Linked DNA regions of Oreochromis niloticus. The protein of the gene in region 2 binds, or shares a complex with, the protein of the main gene of each other region. Links are inferred from orthologs where the notes say so. Each region holds a gene or a part of one and is shown on either strand. Other genes may lie near its edges.

The links.
Region 1: the proteins of ercc6l (region 2) and bend3 are in contact, whole or in part, in a crystal structure (PDB 5JNO), measured with the Homo sapiens proteins. The link is inferred for Oreochromis niloticus from reciprocal best matches to the Homo sapiens genes ERCC6L and BEND3. Residues at the interface, in NP_060139.2 of Homo sapiens: Ala10, Glu11, Ala12, Leu13, Ser14, Pro15, Glu16, Ala18, Ala19, Tyr21, Leu22, Arg23, Lys26, Phe51, Pro52, Asn53, Glu54, Lys55; in NP_001073919.1 of Homo sapiens: Glu252, Gln255, Ile256, Gln259, Leu261, Asp265, Arg269, Val272, Gln273, Pro276, Phe279, Ser280, Phe335, Arg338, Phe339, Gln342, Glu346.

Annotation. Positions count from the first base shown.
Region 1 is NC_031983.2:24,803,194-24,815,570, reverse strand, and holds bend3 (BEN domain-containing protein 3), read right to left. Parts: upstream 5,191-12,377; 5' UTR 5,012-5,190; intron 3,408-5,011; 5' UTR 3,405-3,407; coding exon 3,353-3,404; intron 3,235-3,352; coding exon 3,056-3,234; intron 2,977-3,055; coding exon 751-2,976; 3' UTR 212-750; downstream 1-211. UniProt on the Homo sapiens protein: Transcriptional repressor which associates with the NoRC (nucleolar remodeling complex) complex and plays a key role in repressing rDNA transcription.
Region 2 is NC_031977.2:38,169,168-38,181,035, reverse strand, and holds the start of ercc6l (DNA excision repair protein ERCC-6-like), read left to right. Parts: upstream 1-7,049; 5' UTR 7,050-7,224; coding exon 7,225-7,280; intron 7,281-7,312; exon of another isoform or gene 7,313-7,567; intron 7,568-8,156; coding exon 8,157-8,201; intron 8,202-11,868. Other genes in the region: uncharacterized protein LOC100698890, read left to right, coding at 1,008-1,064, 3,018-3,149, 3,236-3,376. UniProt on the Homo sapiens protein: DNA helicase that acts as a tension sensor that associates with catenated DNA which is stretched under tension until it is resolved during anaphase. Functions as ATP-dependent DNA translocase. Can promote Holliday junction branch migration (in vitro).

The DNA.
Region 1 (12,377 bases), on a different chromosome or scaffold from region 2:
TCACAGTTTTATCTTTCTTTATAAAATCAGTCATCTGCCAACAGACTTAAACATGTCTCCAATGTCATGTGATTGGGTTGATTTTTCAAGTTGATAATCACCTTCAGGGGACCTCTTAGCCTAACGGGTAAGTGAAACCAGATAAAGAAAAGCTATGCTCTGTTTGTTGAACTTGCTCTGGTGCGATTATGTAAAACAGTGTGATTGTATGTCACATTTATAACTGTGGTTTTATTAGAAACTGGTTATCATGAGCCATTGTCATGTTAAATTATCTTTATAATATAAACTTCTATAAGAAGGCTTAACATAAGCACATAGTTATTAAAACAGTGGTGGCACGATGCTACATCAGTAACTGCGATGGAAATATATCACGTCCTTGTGATTTGATTTCTGTTCATAGAGCAAATGTGTGATCTATGCTGTTAGCTACTATCATTATTATTGTTATAAGGCTACAACATTTATCAACAGAGTATGTTAGAGAAGCTATGACATGTTTGGCTTATAAATAGGAGCGGTTGTAACTTTTTTATCGAACAATAATAAAGACTACATAAACTAGAACATCTACTGCTGTAGCCAAAAAGGTAAAATATGAGTAAGAATACTACTAAAGAAACTCGCAACAGCTTGGCTTCTTCCTACAGAGGACAGTGTGTAGAAGTTCAACAATGCGATTTCAGCTTATATACTGTGCAACTGTTTTTATGACAGAAAGTGTTGGGTAACTGCAGAGTACTGTAACTAGGACACAGTGCTTGACCTCTTGGCCTTTTTAAGAATGTCACACTTCTTGCGATTGGGGCGCCGGCAGCGTTCGTCGATGCTTGGCACACATTCGTAGTGCCACACCTCCTCCATCTTATCCACAGGATACACGGCTTCCACATAGTGACGGATCAGTCTCAGTCGAACAGGGTCGAGCTGCTTCTTATTGCAGGCGCCTGAATGGTTGTACTGCAGCCGCAGGTTCTCGTGGGTGAAGAGCTCGGGGAAGAGGCGCACCAGCAAGCGGGCGGCAAAGTTCCCAACAGAGAGACTCTGCTGGACAATTTCCCGTACCTCGGTATCGGAGAGCAGGTAGATGGAGGGAACAGGGAAGTCTGGTTTGGACACAGTCAGCTCATCAAGGGGTATTTTGCAGAAGTCTTTGCTACTTTTCTCAGGAGGTAAAGAGGGAATATCTGGATCCTGTCTGCCGTTATCAGGATGTAGCTGGTTCAGCTGGCAGAGAAAGTCCTGCTCTGTCTCCTGACCGTACACTTTGCGCTGCTGCAAGTAGGATCTCCTCTGCTCCGTGTCACGTCTCCTGCACCGCTCGTCAAGTTTGCCAACAAATTCCAACATCCACACTCTGTCGTTCTTGGCCCGGGGGTAGACCAACTGCACGTAATGACGGATCAGGTTTACGCGAATGGGGTCGAGTTGCTTTTTCCCAAGAGAACCGCTGCAGTTGTACTGCTTTCTAGCGTTCTCGTAGGTAAAGAGCTCAGGGAACATGAGCACCAGCAACCGAGAGGCAAAGTTCCCAACAGACAAGCTACATTCATAGTTGCTCTTGAGCTGTTCCCTGGACAGGATGTATTCCTGGGGAACAGTAAAGTCAGGCAGAGGAATCTCCAGATTGTCAAAATCTACAGGCGTGAGCAGCGACTTTTTAGACTTGCGACTGGGTCTTTCATATTCACTCACTTCTGGAACCTTGATAATTGAAACATCTTCAGGAAGACTGGCCAGTTCGTAGCCCTCCTCATTGATGTTGTCCGGTTCACTCCCGTTGCCGTTACTGTGAGGACCCTCGAGTGCGTCTTCCATATGCTGAATGCACACCTGCAGCCAGCTGTCCTCAGGCACATCAGGGAAATTCGCTTCCATATACTTTCTAATTATGTCCATCTTGTCAGAGTCCAGAATTAGCTGTCCTACACTACTAAAATTGCCGCAGTCTTCTGGTATTTTCCCCTCTTCAAAAACTTCAGGGAAGAGACGGTGAATTAGGAAAACAACAAAGTCTTCTGGGGAGGAGAACTCATCCAACTCCTCTGTGGCTTGTGTACCAAACCCGACATCTGAACCAGCCAGGCTGCCCTGTTGGTGATCTAGAGATATGTGCTCCTCCTGACCCTGTTCATTAATGAAACGAAAGGTTTGAGGCTGCTCCGCTTTTACGCCACCACCTGTGACCGCCTGCTTCCTGAGCAGCCGGGCGCTTTCCATGTCCCTCTGCGCCCAGAAGCGATTAAAAAAGTCATTAATCTGGAGGAGGCACTCTTCCTGCCACACGTTGTTGTTTTTTACCGTGGGGTAGCACACCTCGACATAGTTTCGAATAAGCTGCAGATGTAGAGACTCCAGCGTTCTTTTGCTCGCCATGCAGTCGTGAGAACACTCCCTGGCTTTGAACAGCTCTGGGAACAGATGCACAAGCAGTCGACAGCCCAGTTCCCCAGCGCTTGACGTCTGCTCCATCAGCTGATTCAATTCATCGCTGGTTAGCAGATACTCGGGGGGAGGCTGGAACTCTGTCACCATCTCAGCCGGTTTGATCTGCTTCTTTATCCTCATGACTTCCAGCGTCAGCAAGTCCACTTTACTGTGCAGCTGCGTCATGCTTGAATTCAGAGTGTTGAGAATGAAAAACATTTTCTCAATCAGTGGATAAAGGCTGGAGTCCGCTGTGGAAGCTTGGCCTAAAGTGTCTGTGGAGGGGATGGTCTCTGCTGGGCCATTTTGCTCCGGATTTTGGAGCTTGGATGAGAGCATATTGTTGAGCTGATTCAAGCTGCCAAGACTCGCCTGCTGCTCCAGACTCGGGGTGTTCCTCTTCTCCGAGATCCGGTGGGAGATGCTGAAGAGAGGCTTTCTGTAGGAGACTCTAGATTTCTCCTGGATGCAGTCTCTCTTCTCTCCGGTTGTGGTGAGGCAAAGAGGTTCAATCCTGCTGCTCTCGTCTATCAAGTGCCGTCTCATCTAGACACAATAAATGTCAGTCAAGGATGTGTAATAACATATAAGATATTGTTTTAATCATGAGTTGAGCTTCATTTACCTCGCTAGACACCCTGACTCTCTTGCTGCTAGTGGACTGGTCTGCGTCAGGTCCCATCTCTGCAGATGACCGTTTCCCAGCCTCGGCAGCTCCAGAAGATCCTCTTCCACGTACCTGAGGTTGTTCACTAATAGCAATGTCCTCCGTCTCCTCCTTATAATCTTGGACATGCTTGTGTTCTGCAAAACAATGCATAATTTATTTTACTGCATACACTATAAAAATAAATAAAAACATACTTTGTTAATTTGTGAATTTTTCCTGCTGCAGTTGCAAAGATAAGAATGCAGAACTTGCCTTTTTCAAGCATTGCTTCATCTGAGATTTCCCCATGCTCACGGGAATTCATAGCCTAGATAAAAAATTCAGAAAGTTACTTAATATGCACACACTTAATACATCAACGTGTACAATGTGACAGTAATGTGTGTAATACACATATTCTTAGGTTTGGATAAATTACATGGAAAGGTTATTAACGCTAAAATTAGCTAATGTACCTGTCCACCTGTTGTTCATACCTTCTCTTTACAATTAGCAACTAATCAGATAAAAGTGTCCTAAAAGAGAGAGGAAGATCTAAGGACAATTGTAGCTTTGCAGATGAGTAAATTGTACTGTACGATTGTTTGAACAATTTACTCATATGGGTTACCACTTTGCAAAGTCTGGAAGAAGGCCCACACTGTCATCCACAGATGAGAGGAAATTGGTCTGGATGTTCAGGAACAACCCGGGGAACACTGAGGCTTAAGCCTGCCATGAACTGCAAACACTAACATCACTATCCACAGTGAAGCCACACGGACTGACAGGGTGCTGAACAAGAAAGAAGCCCCTCCTCCAAAAACGGACACCTTCAAGCTTAACTGTAACTTACAGCTGGCCAAAATATCTTCTGGAGAAAAACTTGGTAAGTTAGTCCGACGAGACAAAGAATGAGCTATTTGGTCACAATGATAAGAGGTATGTTTGCAGGAGTAAAGGTGAGGCTTTCAAACCTAAGAGCACTGTACTAAATGTCAATTGGTGGTGATAGCATCATGCTGTGGGGCTGTTGTCCTGCCAGTGATACAGGTATTTCATTGCATTACACAAAGTGGATGGAATAATTAAAGAGGAGGACCATTCCAACTTCACAATTTTCACTTGGTTATCTCTGCGGTTTAAACACAATGCTCTATAACTGGAGTAATTTTTAACTATCTGTAACCATTCTTGCACATGCTTCTTTTTTAAAAATAAAAGATTTAATGATGATTTTTTTGAGCTGTGATTCATGCAAAGCTATGTTAGTAGAGTCAAAGAATACAAACATGACGCCTAAAATGAGCTTGATGATTATAAAGCAGTTATCAAAGTGGTAAACTACTGTTTTCAGTTAAAATACATACATGTTGTGGCTGGCGTGTCACCCTCATAGCAAGCACCATGTGACCGGTTGCAGCCTTGTAGCTAAACACACACACACACACACACACCTCTGTGTTTGCCTGAGTATTTTATCTCAGGCTCGTGAGGCTGATATAAACGCGTAGTTAATGCCTGCACAGCTCTGACCCCCCCTGTTACCTAAAGTCAGCCCGTTTTCGGTGCATGCCTCCATACAGAGTTCCCTCCCAGCTCCCCTCCAGCGTTCATACCCCGCTACTTCCTCATTCTTCCGCCCATGAACCCTTGAACCACAACACGAGCCGAAGCCGCCGTGTGGCCCGAACTCTTCCACAAACTTGGTGTTTTCAGAAACACTGCGCGTATTTACGCGTCGTTTCTATAACACCGCCACATTTTGTTTGTGAAATTTAATGACGCGGCAACGTTTGCGTGGACGACTGACTGCCTGCCTTACTGCCCCCCCCCACCACCTTCCCTCCTACCCCCGTCCTATTCCTCCTCCTGTGCCCCGACTCTCGCTAAATTAACCGAAAACCCGCGTGACCAGAGGTTTGAGCTCACCTTCACTAGTCCATGCCTCCCCCCGGGACCGTCAGCGACATGTCCGCAGACTATCACAGCAGTTTGATCCGCAGGTAATAAAAGAAGGTAATTCTTCTTGTTGGTGTTTTTTTTTTCTCGCTCGGCTCCTGTGCTTTCTCGCGTGACGTGACGGGCGCGCGCCTGCTGTGTCACTTCCGCACAGCTGTGGAAGAAGAGACGGGTGAAAAAAAGAAAAAGGACCACAGTTACAGTTTTACATTGTAAATGCACAGGGCTGCCGTTACACTCTTTGAATTGTATTTAACTAAGAGTCCTCCAGGTAAAGAAGGGTTTGAATAAATAACCGAATAATAAAAAATAATACTCAACATGCTGAGCAGCTGTTAGCCCACGCGAAAGACACAATCACGAAACATTATAAAACATATTCCATGAATTAACACACACACACACACACACACACACACTGGACACTTTTGTTCAACTGCTCTGAATATTTTTTCAGCATATTAGTTATAATAGTTTATAATATAATATTAGTTTTGCAATTGCTAATTAGTTTTTATTTTTCATTCATTTTGATTTTTTGTTTTTACTTCAGTATAGTTTCAGTTTTGTTTCAGTATTGTTATTATTTTTTATTATTATTACTGTATGGAGGACATATGGCAGAGGGAAGATTTAGGAAAATCAGTACATGTTTACAATAAAAACATACGTTTTTAAAGGCAGTTGTCTTTTGGAAGAAATATGCCCATCAATGCCTCGTCGTCAGGCAAACCAACAGATATTAAAACTACGCATATTACCTCTTTCGAGGTAGTTTTATTTATTTTTTCAAAAGTCTAGTTTTGATTTTATTAAGCTATATATATTTTTTTTTTACATCTTTTTTTAATTTAGTTTTAGTTAATTATAATAACCTTGTCTGTGAAGGTTCTCAGTCATCCAGGTCATCGTAGTCAAAGGAGCTTGCAAAGAAAAGCGTCTGGACTTCTTTAAGTTCTTCTAGAAGAAGAACTTAAAGAAGTCCAGACGCTTTTCTTTGCAAGCTCCTTTGACTATAATAACCTTGCTAACCAGCCAATCACATAGCAGGAACTGAGTGCATTTAGACATGTAAACATGCTCAAAATGACCTATTGGAGTTCAAGCAGAGCAAGAAAGATCATTTCTTTGAATATGACATGGTTGCCATGGACTGGTCTGAATACTGGGATCTTCATACACAAGCATCTCCAGGGTTTCAGGAGAATGGTCTGAAAAAGAGAAAATTTGTGTAAACAGCAGGAAAACAAGGGATCCATCCTGACTTATTTCAAAGACTCAGGCTGTAAGCACATGCAAGAGTTTAAAAGAAATACAGTCTATACAATAAATACATTAAGTCATATAAAAAAACCCACATATACAGCAAAGTACAAGGCCGGGGCTGTAGTACAATGAGCTGCAGATTATTAATGACAGCAGTACTGATTCTTCTTTAAAAGGGATTCAGTTTAATTAAGTAAGGAATACCACAAGTTGGGCTCCTACATAGAAAGCTCTTGAGTTTTCTATTTCTCAAGAGGACAATGATCACCCAGAGAGACTGATTATATAAGCACTTATAAATACATTTAAGATGAGTAAATGTAATAAAATTATAGAACCTGGCACATGTAAATTCTGAAGAGCATGGAAATAATGTGTCTCATCAGCTTCCTCTCCACAATGTTGATTGCATGATTGTATATCATCATAAGAGGCTTGATTGTTGTAGATGCAGCTTGTGACCGAGAGGTTAGACAATGACTTAAAATGTTTAAAAAAAAAAAAAAAAAAAAAAAATCACAGCATGCATACAACTCTTTCTTTTATTTTAAAAAATACTTGTGAAGACATGATTTGAAATATCCAGTTTGTAATAGCAAAGAATCCTTCAAATAGATCCTGCATGCAGAGCTGGATCGATTTATTATTCAAATCTTTTCATCCAGACAAAAAAAAAAAAAAGACTGAATGAGTAAATGAGGGGCTATTGTCAGCACCACTTTGGCCACTAACAGCATTATTTGTCTGTTTCATCTCAACATAGGCTACTTGCTCTCAGGAACCCTTCTGTTAAAGTAGTTTATTTTACTTACTGAGATATTTTTCATCACACTTTTGGCAAATTTATGTATTTTACACATTTGCTAAACAACAATTTTTAATGCAGGCCTTTTTTAGTGATGCTTTTTAAAGTCGACTGTTTGTCCTCATTAGAACAAATGATCAGCACGGCATCTCTGTGTCACTGTTAAATAACATGTGAGCACATACTGTGATAAAGGCTGCAACTAGCAAGAGAAGTCATGTTGTATTCAACTGTTGTATTTAACTGTATGTTGTGGTGTCTCTTCAATATTTTTATATTCTGTTCATACATTTATTGTTCTATAGGCCAATACTATTTCCATTTTGATGGCATCTATCTATCTATCTATCCATCCATCTATCCATCTATCCATCCATCCATCCATCCATCCATCCATCCTAATGTAACTAATCCTAGATTATACTAGGGAGGGATGGTTTTCTGCCTCATACTTCCTGTGTATTTGCAGTTCCTTAAGTAGCTGCCATATTGTTTTGCTAGCTATCAAATTTACTTTATGGTTAGTTCTAAAAGCCTTGCTACCAGTGCAGGCGGGATCTCTGTGAAAATAAAACTACAGAGCCAACATCATGTGGACAAGATCGCCCTCAAGTGGAAAAAGGCAGTAAAACCATGTGAATCTGCTCTGTGTGTAAAACATGGGGACAACGTCATTGTTTAACTTTAAAATATTACATTGTGTTGATGATGCAGCTGCTTTCTCCTCCAAATATACTCAGAGCCTGATTTGTCTTGATTAGTCCTCCAACTTTCTTTTAAAGGATTGCTGACTGTCATCTTGTGTACTCATAAATACTCTGTTTAATACCTGTTGACCTCTGATGGCTGCCATCATTCTGGATGTGAAATACACTGTGGCTTAACACTGTATACTGGGTGCACTTCTGATGTCATGGAGTATACATAATATTAAAGAAATAGCGCAGTGTTCTGTTATTTGTTGTAATTTCCAGACAGAGAAAATGAGAAAAGCAATATCAGTCTCTACGGCTTCTAAAAGAGCAGCTGGTTACAAGAAACAACTAAAACCAAAGGCCCAGCCTACAATTTCCCCCACAAGAAGTATAAATGCCTTCAGACAGAGAGTGAAAATGTAAAAAAAGTGAAAGGTGAGGAGTATCAGATGCTCTCATGCCAGGGAGAAAACCACCCCTCCCTAAAAGTGAACCAACTGTTAGATTGATGTAGAAAGCAACAATGTGCTCAGCAGTCTTTAAGCGTTCAGTGTTCTCTAAGTAAGATGATGGAGCTACTCAGACCTATCAGATGCAGTCGTAGATGTGTGGCCAGCAGATCTGCACAGCCTGTAATTATGGACCATGTTTACGCGTGTGAACAGGAAATGGATTTGGACAAAGAGTAGCACTACATGATTATAGTGGATGCTGAAACTACCGTTAGAGGAATATATTTACCCATGAAACAATAATTCGATCCACACACTGAGCTCTTCACAACAAACTCTCTGCTTCTCAGTTGGCGTAGAGAAGAAGTCACGCCAACAAGTTTGCCCCACTTTTTGCCTCATTCTGAGCCACTGAAAAATGTGCCATGGGTTTTGTTTTTTTCCCCCTTGGTTTTGTTTCGCTCAGATTCAAGCTGAAAAAGCTTGAGCTCAGATGCATCATTGCATTCATTTGGCATCACTATCCAGACCGAATTCAGTCATAACCAAAAATTCTTTTTGTACACAAGTGAAAGAGGAAATTTTTATAAAAACAAAAGCAATTCAATTCAGTTCACATAATGCCAAATCACAAAAGTCGCCTCAAGGTACTTTTTATTGTAAGGTAAAGACCCTACAATAATACAGAGAAAACCCCAACAATCAAATGATCCCCTCTGAGCAAACACTTGGTGACAGTGAGAAGGAAAAACTCCCTTTTCACAGAAAGAAACCTCAGAGAAAGAAGAAATCAGGAACAGGGAGGGGGCAGTTATCTGCGGTTGAAAGTCAGGTGGTTATGTTACGGTTAGAGATCGCTAGGTCTACTGCAGAGCTAACACAGTGACAGACAGCTGTTCACATTTACACCTATAACCAATTTAGAGTCACCACTTAACCCACTGTGCATGTCTTTAGATTGTTGGAGCGAGACTGAACAACCCGGACAAACTACACCGTAGAGATGGCCTTCCTGAAAAGAGAACTGATGTATGAGAACAAATTGCTGTGGTATCTAAAATACTGTTTTGCCTCATTCACTCTGTCTACCAATGAAATTCCAACAACAGTTTGTCCATCAGTAATAACAGAATTAAATGAAAGCCTGGGTTTAAGATTGCAAGGTCAAAACTGCAGAGAAATATTTGTAACACAGAGCTGGCGGCAGCAGAAAGAAACTGTGGGAAATGATTAATAAGAGAGGGAAGACAAATGGAGGTATGGCATATTGTTGCAATCAGGAGAAGATTTTGATTTGTAACGGGCAGAAGCTGTTAAGCAGCACTGGCTTCCTCAGATGTCACTCAGAGATGAACAGAAGACCTCACATAATTCTATCTTAATCATCGGCTCTTTCATGCACACAGTGGCACACAATGTTCTGTCCTCAGCCACAAATATGTCGATACCGAGATGATATAACAAGACAACGTGTGGCTGGTGTGGTTCTCATTATTCGACTAATGAGCTGTCTCCATGGCAGTCTGATCTGTCAGCCAATGAAGCGAGTAGGCCCTGTGCAGGGGGAAGAGCACAGCCCAGGGTCAGCCAGGCGGCGGCTTGCGACGAGGGGCCGGCGTGCGGCACTTAACACGGGGAAGAGCTCGTTAAAGTGTCATTTTTGGTCAATATGCTCGTCTGTGTGGAAGAGGCCAATCAGCCATACTGTTCCCATCTCAGGAGAATGACTTTCATCCATCACCGTCAGCTATATGATGATATTAGCAGGTGTTTACTGATAGCCCATTCAGAGGAAGACAAATGGAGATTCTAACATCCTTCCACGCTTACATTCACTCAGTCATTTTACATTCAGGCTTACTCGTAATAGGGTCACATAGAATCAATCCTGGTGTGGATAAAGAAGGGAGGCAGGGAAATATTAGGTCACAATCACTGGTGTGTAGCCAGAGACTCTGACATCTATGTCTGTGAAATTTAATCCCCTACTTAGAAATATGGAGACTAAATGAAGCCAAAAAGCTTGAAATATTTATGTCATTTTTATAGTGTAAACACCTACATTCATCAGCAGTATGAAGTATGCACAAGTATTGGGTGTTATGTTACTCTCCATAGCATCAGGCTACTTTTTCACTGTAACAAGTGTTAGCTTTCCATTTAAAGTAATTAGTTATTTCTTCCTTTTATGGCATTCTGTCTCCAGCTTGTTTGCAGCCATGGACAACCTGTTGTTGTCAGTCAGGCCAAGGTTGTTAATTTTTGCTGTGAAGATTTTGAGGATTTTAACACCGGAGTTTATTGGCGCTTCTGCAATGGCTTCATGGCTTTTAGTTAATCTAAATCTGCTGATTTTAGGGCCACTTTTAATCCTTTTAGTGGCACCGATTTGAAAAGAAGTCTGAACCCTTGCTCTGAGATTTCCATCTATATAGACCAGACAGTATTACATAGGTGTTATAGCTTTGTTGACAGGTTCTTCCTAAATGCACATCTCTGACTTCATGTCATTGTAAAGGTAACAGAGTCTTAATGTGCTATTAGATGATGGCTACACTGTGTTCATAACGGGATAGAGATGGTCAGTAACAATACTCAGGTAGGCTGTGGTGTTTCAGGGATGCTCCTTCTTGCTTTGAGGCAACAGAGCCGAGAACTGCATCACATCACTGTTTGTAAAGGTGGTTGTGGGAGAAGGGGATCACCAGTTCCTATAATTCTCAGCTAGCACCTGTTTGGCACCACCCTTTTGTTTGTCATGCTCGATTTGAATGTTAACTCTGTTATTGGATGGTTAATCAAGGGTGTACTCTGGTGTTTGCACCGGGACTCTGGGATAGGCCTAAATTGGAAAATTGGTTAAGACGGGATGGAGACTTCATGCCTTAATTAGGGGTTCTTCTTTTTTGGGGGGACAGATGAACTGTTATAGGAGAGAATATCTTCAAATTATCTGGTTTATGAATTAAATATTTATCCAATTTAAAAAAAAAAAGCAACAAGGAGGTGGTGATGGTTGATCTGACAGGTATACTTCAGTTGGACAGACAGAAGTAGTAAAAACATAACCTAGAAAACTTACTAGAATATTACAAGGTGCAAATATAAGAAAATTACTAAAGCACTCTGTCTTCTTGTAAAAACACAGATGACTAATTTTTTATCTGAGAAAACTGGCAAAAAACCAGAAAAAAACCCTTCGAAACATTCTTTTAAGTATTAAAATATAGTACATTTGGAAAAAAAACCCTGAGCTTATTGTACTGAAAACCTTTGAAACATGGTGTCTAAGCAGATATTTACTCTGGATGTCTTTAACTTGGCCTCTGGTAACACTGTGGGGAATCCCGGAGTCATTTATGACCAGGATATGTCCTTCAACACCACATTAAACAAATGTGCTGGACTGTTTTCTTTCATCTGAGGAATAAAAATGAGAAACAACCTGTTTCAGTGTGAGGTTGGAAACTAGTCCACACATTTGTTACTTCTAGGCTGGACTCTTGCAATCCTTTATTATCTCCCTGAAAAGCTTCTAGTTGATTCAAAAATGTTGCAGCGAGAGTGCTAAGAGGAAGTACAGCAAATTATTGGACGTTATTTTAAGGACCATTTGATCCTTTGGATTGGCTTATTAGACATATGTTTTAATAAACAGCTATCAGGTGTAATTATTAAATGTATGCATCAGATTTTAGAAACTAATTTCCACTTTAGGGCTAATGAAGGTTTTTTATGGTCAAAGTCATGAATGTACAAAGTTTTTCATTAATCCTTTTTATTAATAGGCAATAAAGCTTTTGAATTCATGACAATCATGAATTCATTATTGTGTAAATATTAATTAACAAGAAATTAATGCATGTTATGTACAATGACCCAAATCATTATAATCCAACTGAGAACAACTAAGATCAAAGAAAGAATGACCTAACCTAAAACAGCTGCTACTACACTTCCCATGATGCATTCTTGGCTGCATCTTTAAGTAGGCGCTCACTGGTAAATACCCTAATCTTCCAAACTCTCCAGACTCGTTTTGTCACACAAGGTTTCTCTTAAATGTTTAAAGGCTCCCCCACAGCTATAGCTGATGTGTTTTCCCCCCACAGGCTTGA
Region 2 (11,868 bases):
ACGCGCCGTCAGGGCTGAAGAACGAAAGCTCAGTGATTCTGATGCTGCAGGTTTTGTCTCTCCAACCAAAATTCACTGAACCTGCAGAAAAAGAAGCTCCGAACTACGCTTCACACTTGATAAACATGCTCATTAACTCCCTCTGACTTTGGCTGTTTTACTTCCTGCACAGCTCTCTCTCTCTCAGTGCACTCAGAGTCAGTTTTACCATCAAATCTCTGTTTTCTGCATTATTCTCTGCTTATTACGCACCAGCCTGCTGCTGTGCTCAGTGCTGTCCGCCTCTGACAGTAAAGCCTCATTTCTGCTGTTCAAATTGAAGAAATGTAAACTTTTACAAAATGATTGCTCAGCTGTGTCTGTAATCAAACCTCTGTGACTTTGCATCAGGTCATGTTCACATGTTCATTCACGGTTTTCTTCTGTTTTGGATCTACTGCAGAATATTTTAAGGTTATCTGCTATAAAAAGTCAGGCCAGGAAAATCTGCTTCGTGATTTTCTGTTTTATCCTCAGTTACTGTGACACAAAGGCCTCTGCTGTGATGCTCACACCTCTGATGGAGTCTCACAGTGTCAGCTTTGGTTTATACATAGATATAAAAATATGGAGATGAACTGATAAATAATCAGAATTAGAATATTTCTGACTGTCTGAGTCAAAACTGAACTGAATAGATTATAGAAATGGAAATCGATACCCGGCGCTCAGTCGGAGCTCTGCAGCAAACACGCGGAGACAGCACGCGAACGGAAGCAGCGTTTAGTTTGACACATGTGTCGCTGTGGAGCCGCCGAGCTGCTTCTAAAGCGACGAAGAAGAAGTGATGTAAACAGGAAGTTGGGCACGTACGTCCACAAAAACTGTCGTGTCGAATATGTGGATAAATATGAAATTCAGCAAAAGCTGTTGAATACAGAGGAACTGCCGAAGTTTGCTTTAGTTTAATCTCGGGACGTTTTTCTTAGTTTGGGGATTTTTCGCTGTTTTTGGGCCGTTTTCCGGTCATGTCCGGGTCAGTGAACCCCACAGGAGAGATGAGCAACGCGCAGTTATTCCAGCAGGTAAATCAATTTATTCTGTTGTAAAATAAATGAAATGTAAACTTTTATCACAGCGTGTGTCACGGTGAATTAGGCGTGGCTGAAACGGTCCAATCAAAACGAACAAAAAGACTTTTAATAAGAACAAAGACAATTTGATTATTCAGGAATCTTTATAGGTTTCTGTGAAGGTTCTCAGTCATCCAGCTCATCGTAGTCTCAGGAGCCTGGAAAGAAAAGCGTCTGGACTTAATCAGAGAAGCTTCTTCAGTTCCAAGAACAATTGGTCCCACATTTGAAACCCCGTGGGAGGGTCCCTAACAGGGTCATGGACCTTGTAATCTTTACAGGTGCAGGCTCACAGGAACATCAAACTATCAACAGAGTCAAATTAAAATCTAACTCAGCTGAAAGGAAATACACAAATACTCCTGAAGACACAGGTACACCTGAGTACACCTGCAGCCCTGCAGGTGTATTCAGGTGTTATCCTGTCCCACTTCCTTTACCGCGGTCAAGTGAGCCGTCATTTGTGACCCGCGGTCAAGCCATCCGCTTCTTATGTATTATTGTTGTGTAAAAACACAACAATAATACAAAGAAAAGCCCAACAATTTAATTACCCCATATAAGCTAACATTTAGTGAGAGTGGGAAGGAAAAACTCCATTTGAAGAGGTAGAAACATCTGGCAGAAACAGGCTCAAGGAGAGACAGCCATCGACTGTGACTGACTGAGGTTGGTGGAAATGAGACAGGACAACATATACACTGTGCAAGAGAGCAAGAGATACATACTAACTAATGATTAAATGCAGAGAGGTGTATAAACACAGATCGAGCAAAGAAGGAAAAAATTCATACATCACGGGAAGCCCGCAAGAGCCGAGGCTTATTGCAGCACAAATAAGGGAAGATTCAGGGTCACCTGATCCACTCTGACTGTATTATTTGTCAAGACTGAAGGTTTTAATGCTAATAACAAGAGCAGAGACGGGTGTTTGTCTTCTGAATTAATATTGTGAGCTGCATCCACAGAAGAGAGGCCTGAGAGATGAAGACTCTGATTCCCGTTCAACCTTAAAATTCTATAGGAACCACAAGTACACCTGATATTCCAAAATTAAAATCTGGATTTCAAAGCAAGTCAGTGAAGACAAGCAAATATGGCTGAAATATGCTGTCATGACTCTCTCAGCAACACTTTTGATCCATTAATATTAAACAATAATTGATGCAGCGGATTGAGATGAAACCTGGCCCAGAGGTACAGTAGGTGTCCCAGAGGAAGAATGTGTTGAAAGCTTGGCATCAACTATTAAGGAAGATTTTTAATGAATTTTTGAATATGCAACCCGACTGTCCCGCTTTGGGATGTCCCAAAGCATTGTATGCATGCGTGTGCATGTCTGAGTCCGCGCGCGTGCACGTGTCACTGCTTGCGCGTGTACTTGTGCGCAGGTCTATGCTTTCGATCAGGAAATAAGGAGAAAAGGCGCTGCCGTAAATGCCGGTGTAGAAGCGCAAGAAAATTAATGCGACGGAAAAGAGGCGGCTGGCTTGACTGCGGCTCACAAATGACGGCTCACTTGACCGCGGTACTTCCTTTCACACAGGCAGCAGGTACACGCTTTAGGTCTGTCAGTCTGTCTGTCAGCAGCTCTTTTATACCCGGAGTTAAACCTGAAGTCACCTCCCGATCCACAGTCCAGGCCTCAGCCTCTGTACACCAGCGTGTTTTTCATCCAATTCATTTTTAAGTTCAGTCCCTGCTCCTGATTGGCTGCTGAGGCTCACCTGCACAGAGGGATTCTGTGTCTTTCTCCATCAGCTCTGTCTTTGGTCTAGTTTTAAGAGTTTACGGGAGAATCTGTTCATCTTTTTCACTTTTTCGTGTTCATAAAAACACCTGTGGCATGTCAGCTGGGTTTACAGGCAAAAACTCTGTGATTGGTTCTCATCGTGTTTCCTGCAGGTGGCGCTGCTGCGATGGTTGAACTCTCAGACTGAGGAGGACCGGAGGATCTTGGCGGCAGTGACGGGCGTCCAGGTCGGCAGAGAGCTGCTGAATCGGATCACCGGCCAGGACAAAGTTGATGCCTACAAGGTACAGCGGGGGGCGCCGATCACATCCGCCACTCTGCTCGCGTCTCATTTCCTCACGATGAATGTCGTCCTGTTTTGTGTCCTCAGCGAGACTGTGTCCTGAGCATTGCACAGTTCCTGCGGCAGAACCCGCGAGCCTCGCAGGCGCAGATCAACGCCGAGGTGGAGAAGAACGTCCTGCTGTTCGCCGCTCGAGTCAAAGCTCTGGAGACAGCGCCGATTCTCTGAGTTATTCTGTGAACGCTCCACATTTCCCTCGAGTGTGCTCGCTTCATACTTCAAACCTTTGTTAGTTTGTGTTCTGCTTGTGTTGTCTGCTGAGGCCATGCTGAGTTCAACGAAAGCTACAGGATTTGTTTCCACATGAAGAAAAATCTGTTTCCGCCTGTGACTCTTCACAATAAAAGCTCCAGCTAATTCCAAGCCTTCTGTGTTCCGACTTGTTTACAGAACAATAAGTTCTGCACTTATTCAGATCTTCAGATTTTTATTTCTGGCGCACAAAGTTCTGATTGAGATTTTTGTACATGAGTTTCAAATGTCTAGAAATCTGGAAATGTTACATTCTGCATTCAAAGTTTAGTCATCAACTGTCTTTTACTGCTGAGGTTCATTATTTATGAGTCCTTCTGCAGAATGGGCTGATTTTAAAATCCTGATTGGAGTCAAACGTCCTGGGCTGCTTCCAGACAACAGACTGTATATTTATTAGTCCTTTATTTATCCAGGTAAAAATCTCATTGAGATTAAAAATCTCATTTCCAAGAGAGACCTGGCATCATGGCAACAAAAGTCACATACCACATAGGTATATAACATTCAAAACAAATACAATATCCCATACCAACATGTGTAAAATATACAATAACAGATCAAATTAAGAGTACATTAAAAACAATCACACTGAGTAAAAGAGCTGTTCTCTCGTTCCTTTAAGACAGACTTAAACTCTCCTGAGGTAACCAATTCTGATCATTTCAGTTCCTTCTGCAGATTATTCCAGGAAGCAGGGGCAGCGTATTTAAAAGCCTTTTTCCCCAATTCTGTTCTGACTTTTGGGACAATCAATTGTATGATATTGTGCGAACGAAGGCTGTATTGGTTGTGATTTTTACACATATAAACACATAAATAAGATGGAACCAGCCCAAGGAGAGATTTATAGATAACGAGCAACCAATGGGAGAGTCTGCGAATATGCAAAGATGGACATTTAGCAGCAGCATACAAAGAACAATGTTGTACACGATTTCCATAGCCAGTAATAAAACGTAAAGCACAATGGTACACAGTATCCAACCTCTTTAGGTAGTGGGCAGGTGCATTCATAAAAAGCAGGTCACCATAATCCAATAAAGGTAAAAAAAAAGTTGCATGAATCAAGTGTTTTCTCACTTGGAGGGAGAAACAGGATTGGTTTCTAAAAAAGTAACCTAGTTTTAGTTTGAACTTCGACACAAGCCTTTGAATGTGAGTCTTAAATAACAAATTCTGATCTATAATGATCCCTAGATACTTGTAAGATGTGACCATTTCAATTTCAGTTCCTTGAATTGTTTTAATCTTAGGAGACGTAGCTAAAACAATTCAAGGAACTGAAATTGAAATGGTGGAAGTCACCCACTTTGAATGAACACATAGGGAACACACCTGAGACTTGTTCTTGGTGCTCAAAATATTCAGGGTGCCACATATGCACTCTTGGTGTGCAGTGCACACACTCTTCATATGATCCTCTTTTCAGACTAACATTTACAAAATAAACTCTGTATTTCATTCATTAAGACCTGAAAGTGTTGACTGAGGTCACAGAGGGAGCCGAATGCTGCTTTCCTTATGGGAGTCTTTAAGCCAGGGGTGTCCAAACTTTTTTCGCTGAGGGCCACATACATAAAAATATAGGAGGGGCTGGGCCACTTACTAGAAATTAGGTATATAACCTTAACTTTACTGTATTAAAAATCATTTAAAAGTGGTCAAATGTGTTATATTGTTGAATATAATTAAAGACAAAACTGCCTTCATCACAGTTTTCCATAAATGGATCTTTATTGATTTATTCAGAAAAAGCTTTGGTAGCTCATTCTCAGAACAGCAGCAGATTTCTTCTTGGACAGAAGATTTACAGCACAGAGAAAAAACAAAAAAGGGGAAAATGGGACGGGTACATTTCAAGTTTGTTATTTAAGTTATTAGGCTTAGCAACACACCTGTTAACGTTCGTTTGAAACGGTTATCAACATTAACAGACTGAACTGGACTTAATAACAGGAGTGCATATAATTTTAGTCAATTATTCTGGTGAGTATCAGCTGCGCTGGGTATGTAAATCGGGCCATCCAGCTGCGGTGCTGATCGTGGCAAAAATCCGGACAAATGTCACTTGACCAAGGAGCAAATCTGCATCAGATGAGATCAGCTGACTTGCGTGTGCGTGCGCTGTGCACAGCGGTGTTTACTCTGTGTGTTAACAAGAAAAACGCATATAAGAAAGCGGTGCGCAAAAGCAGGGTAGTGACAGAATTGATGCGCATTATTGATATTTGAAGCATGTGTACCTGCACATTAACACACGGGTACTGTGGAAGATATTTTTACTCACCTAAAGTGCTCGTGCTCTCGTCCACTCCTCGCAAAGAAATTAGCAGCTGTGCGGCGTCTGTGGCATCAGTGCTCTCATCACATGCGATGGAGTAAAAATCAAAAGCACAGCTTTATCACACAGTTGCAGTTTAATGTTGGCTGACGAGTCTGACGTTGTTGAAGTCCTGCACTTTTTCCGGGCGCATTATTTCGGTGACTTTAACGAGGCAGTGTTTTATGAGGTCTCCATCTGAAAAAGGCTTGCCGTGTCTTGCGATGAGTTGGGCGACCTCATAGCTGCTATTGGAGCCCTTTCCTGGACAATTTGAGCACGAAAAAAAAATACTGTTGCTGACCCTGCAGGAGAGCTAGCATTTGCTTTAATTTCTGCTCTCGCTCAGCACCAGTGTAGGATGCATAGGCCTGATGTTTGGTTTCATAATGACGTCGTAAATTATACTCTTTCATAACTGCCACAGTTTCAGCGCAGATCAAACAGATACACTTCCCCATGAATTCTTTGAAGAAATATTCACTCTCCCACCTTGTCTGAAATTTTCTGCATTCACTTTTTATCTTTCGCTTCTTTGGTTCTGCCATGTTTAGTAACTTGAGAGTAAATTTCTTCTGTGATTGTCCTTTTTGGTGGAGCAACTGCCTTGATCAACAGCAGCTCCCCCTGGTGTTAAAACTAAGAAGTGCAATACACTCAAGCAAAAGTTGGAGTGCGGGCCATATTCTATTCAATTTATAAAATTACTTGCGGGCCAATTAAAACTGGACCGCGGGCCGCAATTGGCCCGCGGGCCGGACTTTGGACATGCCTGCTTTAAGCAATAAGATGAGTCGCCCCCTGCTGGCCATTAGAAAGTATCCAGGTTTAAGCTTCACTTTCATCTTTAACAGTTATGAGAGTCTAAGACATTTTTATTTTTAGCTGTTTTACATCAAAAACTCAAAAAGCTCAAAATAAACAAAACATGCTTTTAAGTCCCGAGAACATAACATCAGAGAGGAGAGAAACAGTCGGCTTTACCCTGTCCAGCCAGGAAGCATCAACCATGTCACCTGCACATGTGTGTGTGGAAGGAATTTTTTTTTTCAGTAATTGAGGGTAGACAATGGATGAAATACGGCGTTTTCCAAAGCTCGAATTTCGGTGATATTCCCTGGAAAACCTCAAACTGAACTGCTGCGAATGTAAACGTTTTCCTTCTCGCGCGTGTTGCTCGGCCGCTCATTGGCTGAACGTTTACTGGGGTCCCGCCTTATAGCACTCACCACCGCTTCTCCGATTGGATAACGTAGTCGTGACGTCCCCAAAGCGTCATCTCTGATTCGCTGTGACAAACCGGTGGGGGATGATCCTCGAGTTTAAACATAGAAACAGGTGGCGGCTCCTCGGAGAGTTCGGAGTTTAGTTTGAGGACAAATAATCGTTAAAGTCGTAGCTTCGAGCAGTTTGTAGGCGGAGGTACAGCTGTAACGGCGGGATGGACGGGGCATACGGTACCGGAGAGGTTTCGCAGATTTCGGAGAAGCTGGAGAAGTAAGTAAAGCTCGAATCGTTAGCGAGCGGCTAACAGGCTGTGCCGTCTGAGGTCCTGTTCAGGGTCCGAAACACCAAACATGCCACCGGGATAAAACTCACGGTACTGGGACCGTGGAGCGCGTGTCGGGGGCTCTTTTGATTGGTGGTGGAGAAACGGATGGAGGACAAATTAAAGGCAAATCCGAAAGGACAGTGAGCCGCTCGGTGTTTACGTTACTGGCCTCAGATATTTGGGTGGAAACCATCTGAGACTGTTACACTTGAACCTGTAGTCCACCCGTCAGGTGAGTCTACCTGTGAGCACCTTCTCTGCTGAGCTTTCAACGTAATCAGCCATAAACCTGAGAAGGTTTTCACACAGACGCTTTAGAAAAGCTCAACCATGAGAACGAGAGCGGCTATGAGTCAGATCTGATCTGGGGTTTTTAAAGGAGACGTGGGGGGAGGCCGCTCTGTTCACAGCTGCAGGTAAAAGCCCGCAGGTGTGAACATGCAACTGAAACCAGAATCAGAACCCTTTATTAATCCCTAAGGAAATGATGTGGGTCACAGTTGCTCCAAGACAGTAACAGATTAAACTATTTAAGCAGATTTATGGATGTGTTTTTTATTCCTGGAGCGAAGGCTTCAGGTGTTCTTCAGGTGAGGGTGAATATCTGGTCCTGTGGCTCTCTGAGTGGACTCTCAGGCTAAATATGTGGGTGTGTGAACTCTGAATTGCTGCATGCTTTCGGTCTGACACTTGGTACCTGTAATGGGAGGTGGTGTTACAGTCAAGCAAAAATCTCCAGATCAGTGAAACTGAATGAGAAGCTTCATTGTTTGTGGTGCTTATTTATCGGTTTGTTTGATTTTCACTCCGACTCTCTGCAGGTCTTTGTCCATCGACACAGAAGAAAGAATGGAAACTTACCACAGGTACAACACACACACGCGCACACACACACACACACACACACACTACTAATCTAATGCAATGACTCGTCACGTCATTTGTGGCTGTAGGTGAAGGCAGGATTTTCTTTGTCCTGAATCTGGGATCAGTAACTGTTCAGATGAGTCGCTGCTCTGCAAAACCCTGAAGTAGACCAAAGCCACGTTCTTTCACTATTAATGTGTGACGATCAGATTATGGCTGCCACGATTAGTCCACTATCAAAATCATCGACTAATTTAATAGTCGATGATTCGTTTGAAGTTTTGTAAGATCCTGAAAGACGCAGGAATAAGTAGTAGGATTTAAGAGTGTAATAACGGACTGAAACAGAAGATGCCAGCTGCCGTTAAACACCAAAGAAGAAGAAGCAGTCTCCGATATCGTAGCTGTGTCCACATTCAGGGGCTGCATCCTCCTGAGGCCGCATTTGTAGGCCGATTACGTTACAGCGGTGTGACAAAGGCTGTCCCAATTCGTAGACTCTGGGGTCGTGTCCAAATTCATGGGCTGCATCCTCCTGAGGACCAGGAGCGGATCTAGAAGGGTGGCATGGGATGGCAAGTGCCACCCTAAAATGATCCCTTGCCACCCCAAGTGCCACCCCAGTTTTGCATATGACAGTGTTGTTTATTAAAATAAGATAGCATTAACAGTTTGAGCGTAGTTACAGTCAACAGTGAATATAAATGCTAAAACTGAATATATTGCAGAGTGCCCCCCCCTGCACCATTAACAAATGGTTCAGCCCATATCAGGACCGGCTTTTTTCTTGTTTTCAGTAGCAAGCGATGCTTATGATTGTGCCAGAGCACATTTTGAACAACACCATGGGAATTTCAGATTTTACACAGGTGGTTGGATGTTACACTCTGGAAATGGAAGGAAGGTGAGTGTTATTAACCCTCTGTGGTCCACGGACACGCTGCACCTCCAAATCACATGACTGATGTAAGCTGACACAGCAACAAGCTGCAGCCACACTGAGTCTCTATTTCAGCCCACGTTGAAAGTTCGGACTTCAAAGTTTTTACATTTTAATTACAGGCCAGTAAATCCAGAGTTATGATAATATATATAAGCCACGCTTTTTACTAAATACTGTCGTCACGTTTTTGTGTGTGTGTGTTTTAAGCGTTTTCTAAGGACAGCGAGAAAACAGTAAAGAAAGGGGGGGAAAAAAGCCACCTCTTTCCTATCGGTGGAAAAATGCACCATGTCAACCAATTTATTAAAAAGTCAACATGTGGGATTTTGTTGTTTAGGAAGGGGGGGGGGGGGAGAGAGAGCTTAGTGTGTTGTGTTGTCTTGTGTAGTTGTTCTGTTGTGTAGTCGTTTTGTTTTGTGTGTCAGTGAGGGCACTAATGATGTCACTAAGGCACATTTGCAACGTAAACACTGTCACTAAGTAGAAAACCAGCGGAGTGATACACCTGCTGTTGTCAGGCCTGCAGGTTTGTCCCTGTGCTGCTCTCCTCTGTCTTTTGGTGGACAAACTTTTTTTTTTTTTTACTGGCACACATCATTTGTGGGGCATCTTATTGCGACACCTGATTGTTCTCTCATTTTAGTTTTAGTAGGGCTGCACGATTAATCGTTAGAAAATCGCGATCTCGATTCATACATATGTGCGATCTCATTTCCAAATGACAACGATTTAAAAAAAAAAAAAAAAAAAAAAAGACGACGACGATTGTACCGCATTTTGATCCGGGACGTAATCTGCATGAAAACAAGCGCTCACCCTTCCTGCTCAACAAATGACAAGGGCGGAGCCTTATACCACGTGATACAGAAGCTGTGCCGTGATGCTCAAATTGGCAGGAAAAAACAACGGAGAACACGTCAGGGATGACGAGAAAGTGACAGGAGAAAATCCGTCCCGGTCAACCACCCAAACATCAATAACGGGAACCTTATACAGCGCTTCCCCATAGCCGTCGAACTCCCGCAGGCACAAAGAAATTACGGAGGCTATCACTTATCACCTGACCAAAGATATGGCTCCCATCAACACTGTGCAAAACGAGGGATTTAGGAAAATGATCAACACCCTAGACAAACGCTACACAGTGCCGTCACGCAACTATTTTTCAAACGTTGCACTACCTGCTCTATACACGCAGTGTCGAGCAACGGTGGAGACGGAATTACAAGCAGTACAACATTTTGCAGCAACGACAAAATGTGAGACAATTATTGTTTTTATGTTTATTTATTGTTTTTATGTTCAGTCTCAACTGTTACGAAGTTGATGTGCAGTTAATAAGTGCAATAAATATTTATATTGGAAAAGAAAATCGTGAGAGAATCGTGATCTCAATTCTAAGCAAAAAAATCATGATTCTCATTTTATGCAAAATCGTGCAGCCCTTAGTTTTAGTAATATTTTTAAATGGTTGTGCAAAATGAAAAAACGGCAGGTGTATTGGCTGCATTTTTAGATAAATAGTTGTATATGTTTACAAAATGTACAATTTATATTTGCATTTCAAGTTATATAAATTTACTCAACATGTCTGTGGGGTTTTTTACAGTAAAGAAATACTACTAGGATTTTAAGTTCTTTGTGTGATTTCAGATCAGTAATACTAATGCAGTATGTCAGTGAAAAAACAACTAAATTCAGTTGAGCTGAAACGATACCAAACAAGGCAAAGGGGGAAAAATAAAATGAAACAATTTGAGGGTGAAATACAAACGTAAACTCAAAAGGAGTCAAAAATGTCCGGTTGTATTTCAGACCTCAGAGGGTTAATCCAACAAATCATGAAAAATTAGGTTAAAGTTTTTGTTCATGACAGTGCAGATTTCTGACATTTTGTGTAATTTAAGCTGTAACAATGTGATTGTTTTCACAGTGTGAAACTTAAGTTAGACTTGTGTTTGTAAATGAACCGCCCCATGTTGTGTAGCTTTCTGGATTTTATACTTATTGGGCTCCATATTTATTTATTATACAGCCTATACAGTACATAAGATCAAAACTCACATGTTTTTAACTAAAGTGTGTAATTATGTGGGCTACAGACAATAATTAAGTTATAGACTATATTTATATGAAAAACGTGTATACTTACTGCATTTGAATTATTTTAACCATATGTAACCACCTGCATATGTGTTTGAAAAAAAAGCCTTGATTTTGCCACCCCATTTGATTTCTTTGCCACCCTCTTGCCACCCTAAGAAAATTTCTCTAGATCCGCCCCTGCTGAGGACCCGGCCTTCACGGTCTACGTGGGCCGGGTCCTCAGAAGGTCAGGTAGGCCGGAATTAAACAGCTGTGAAATTGGACGGTCTAGCCTTCTGATTAACGTCACCGCTGTCTCGGTGGAGTTTAATAAACTCAGCCGCCTGCTCCTTGCTATCTAAATTATAACAGGACGCTGGCGTAAATTCTCGACCGTCTCACACTTTTGTTTAATTGGTTTTCTGTTTGACGTTTATTCAGCTGTGTGAAAATCCCGGAGGAACCCACCCGGGGGATTAATAAAGTTTTATTTTATTTAATCTAATCTAATCACTTTAATCTCAGCCAAACCGATTTACTGACGAACAAATAAAACACTGAAAAAAGCCAAACAATATCATTTCTAGGTTGTCTAAGTGACTTATATATTACGTTTAACCTGAGTAGCGAAAGTCCGT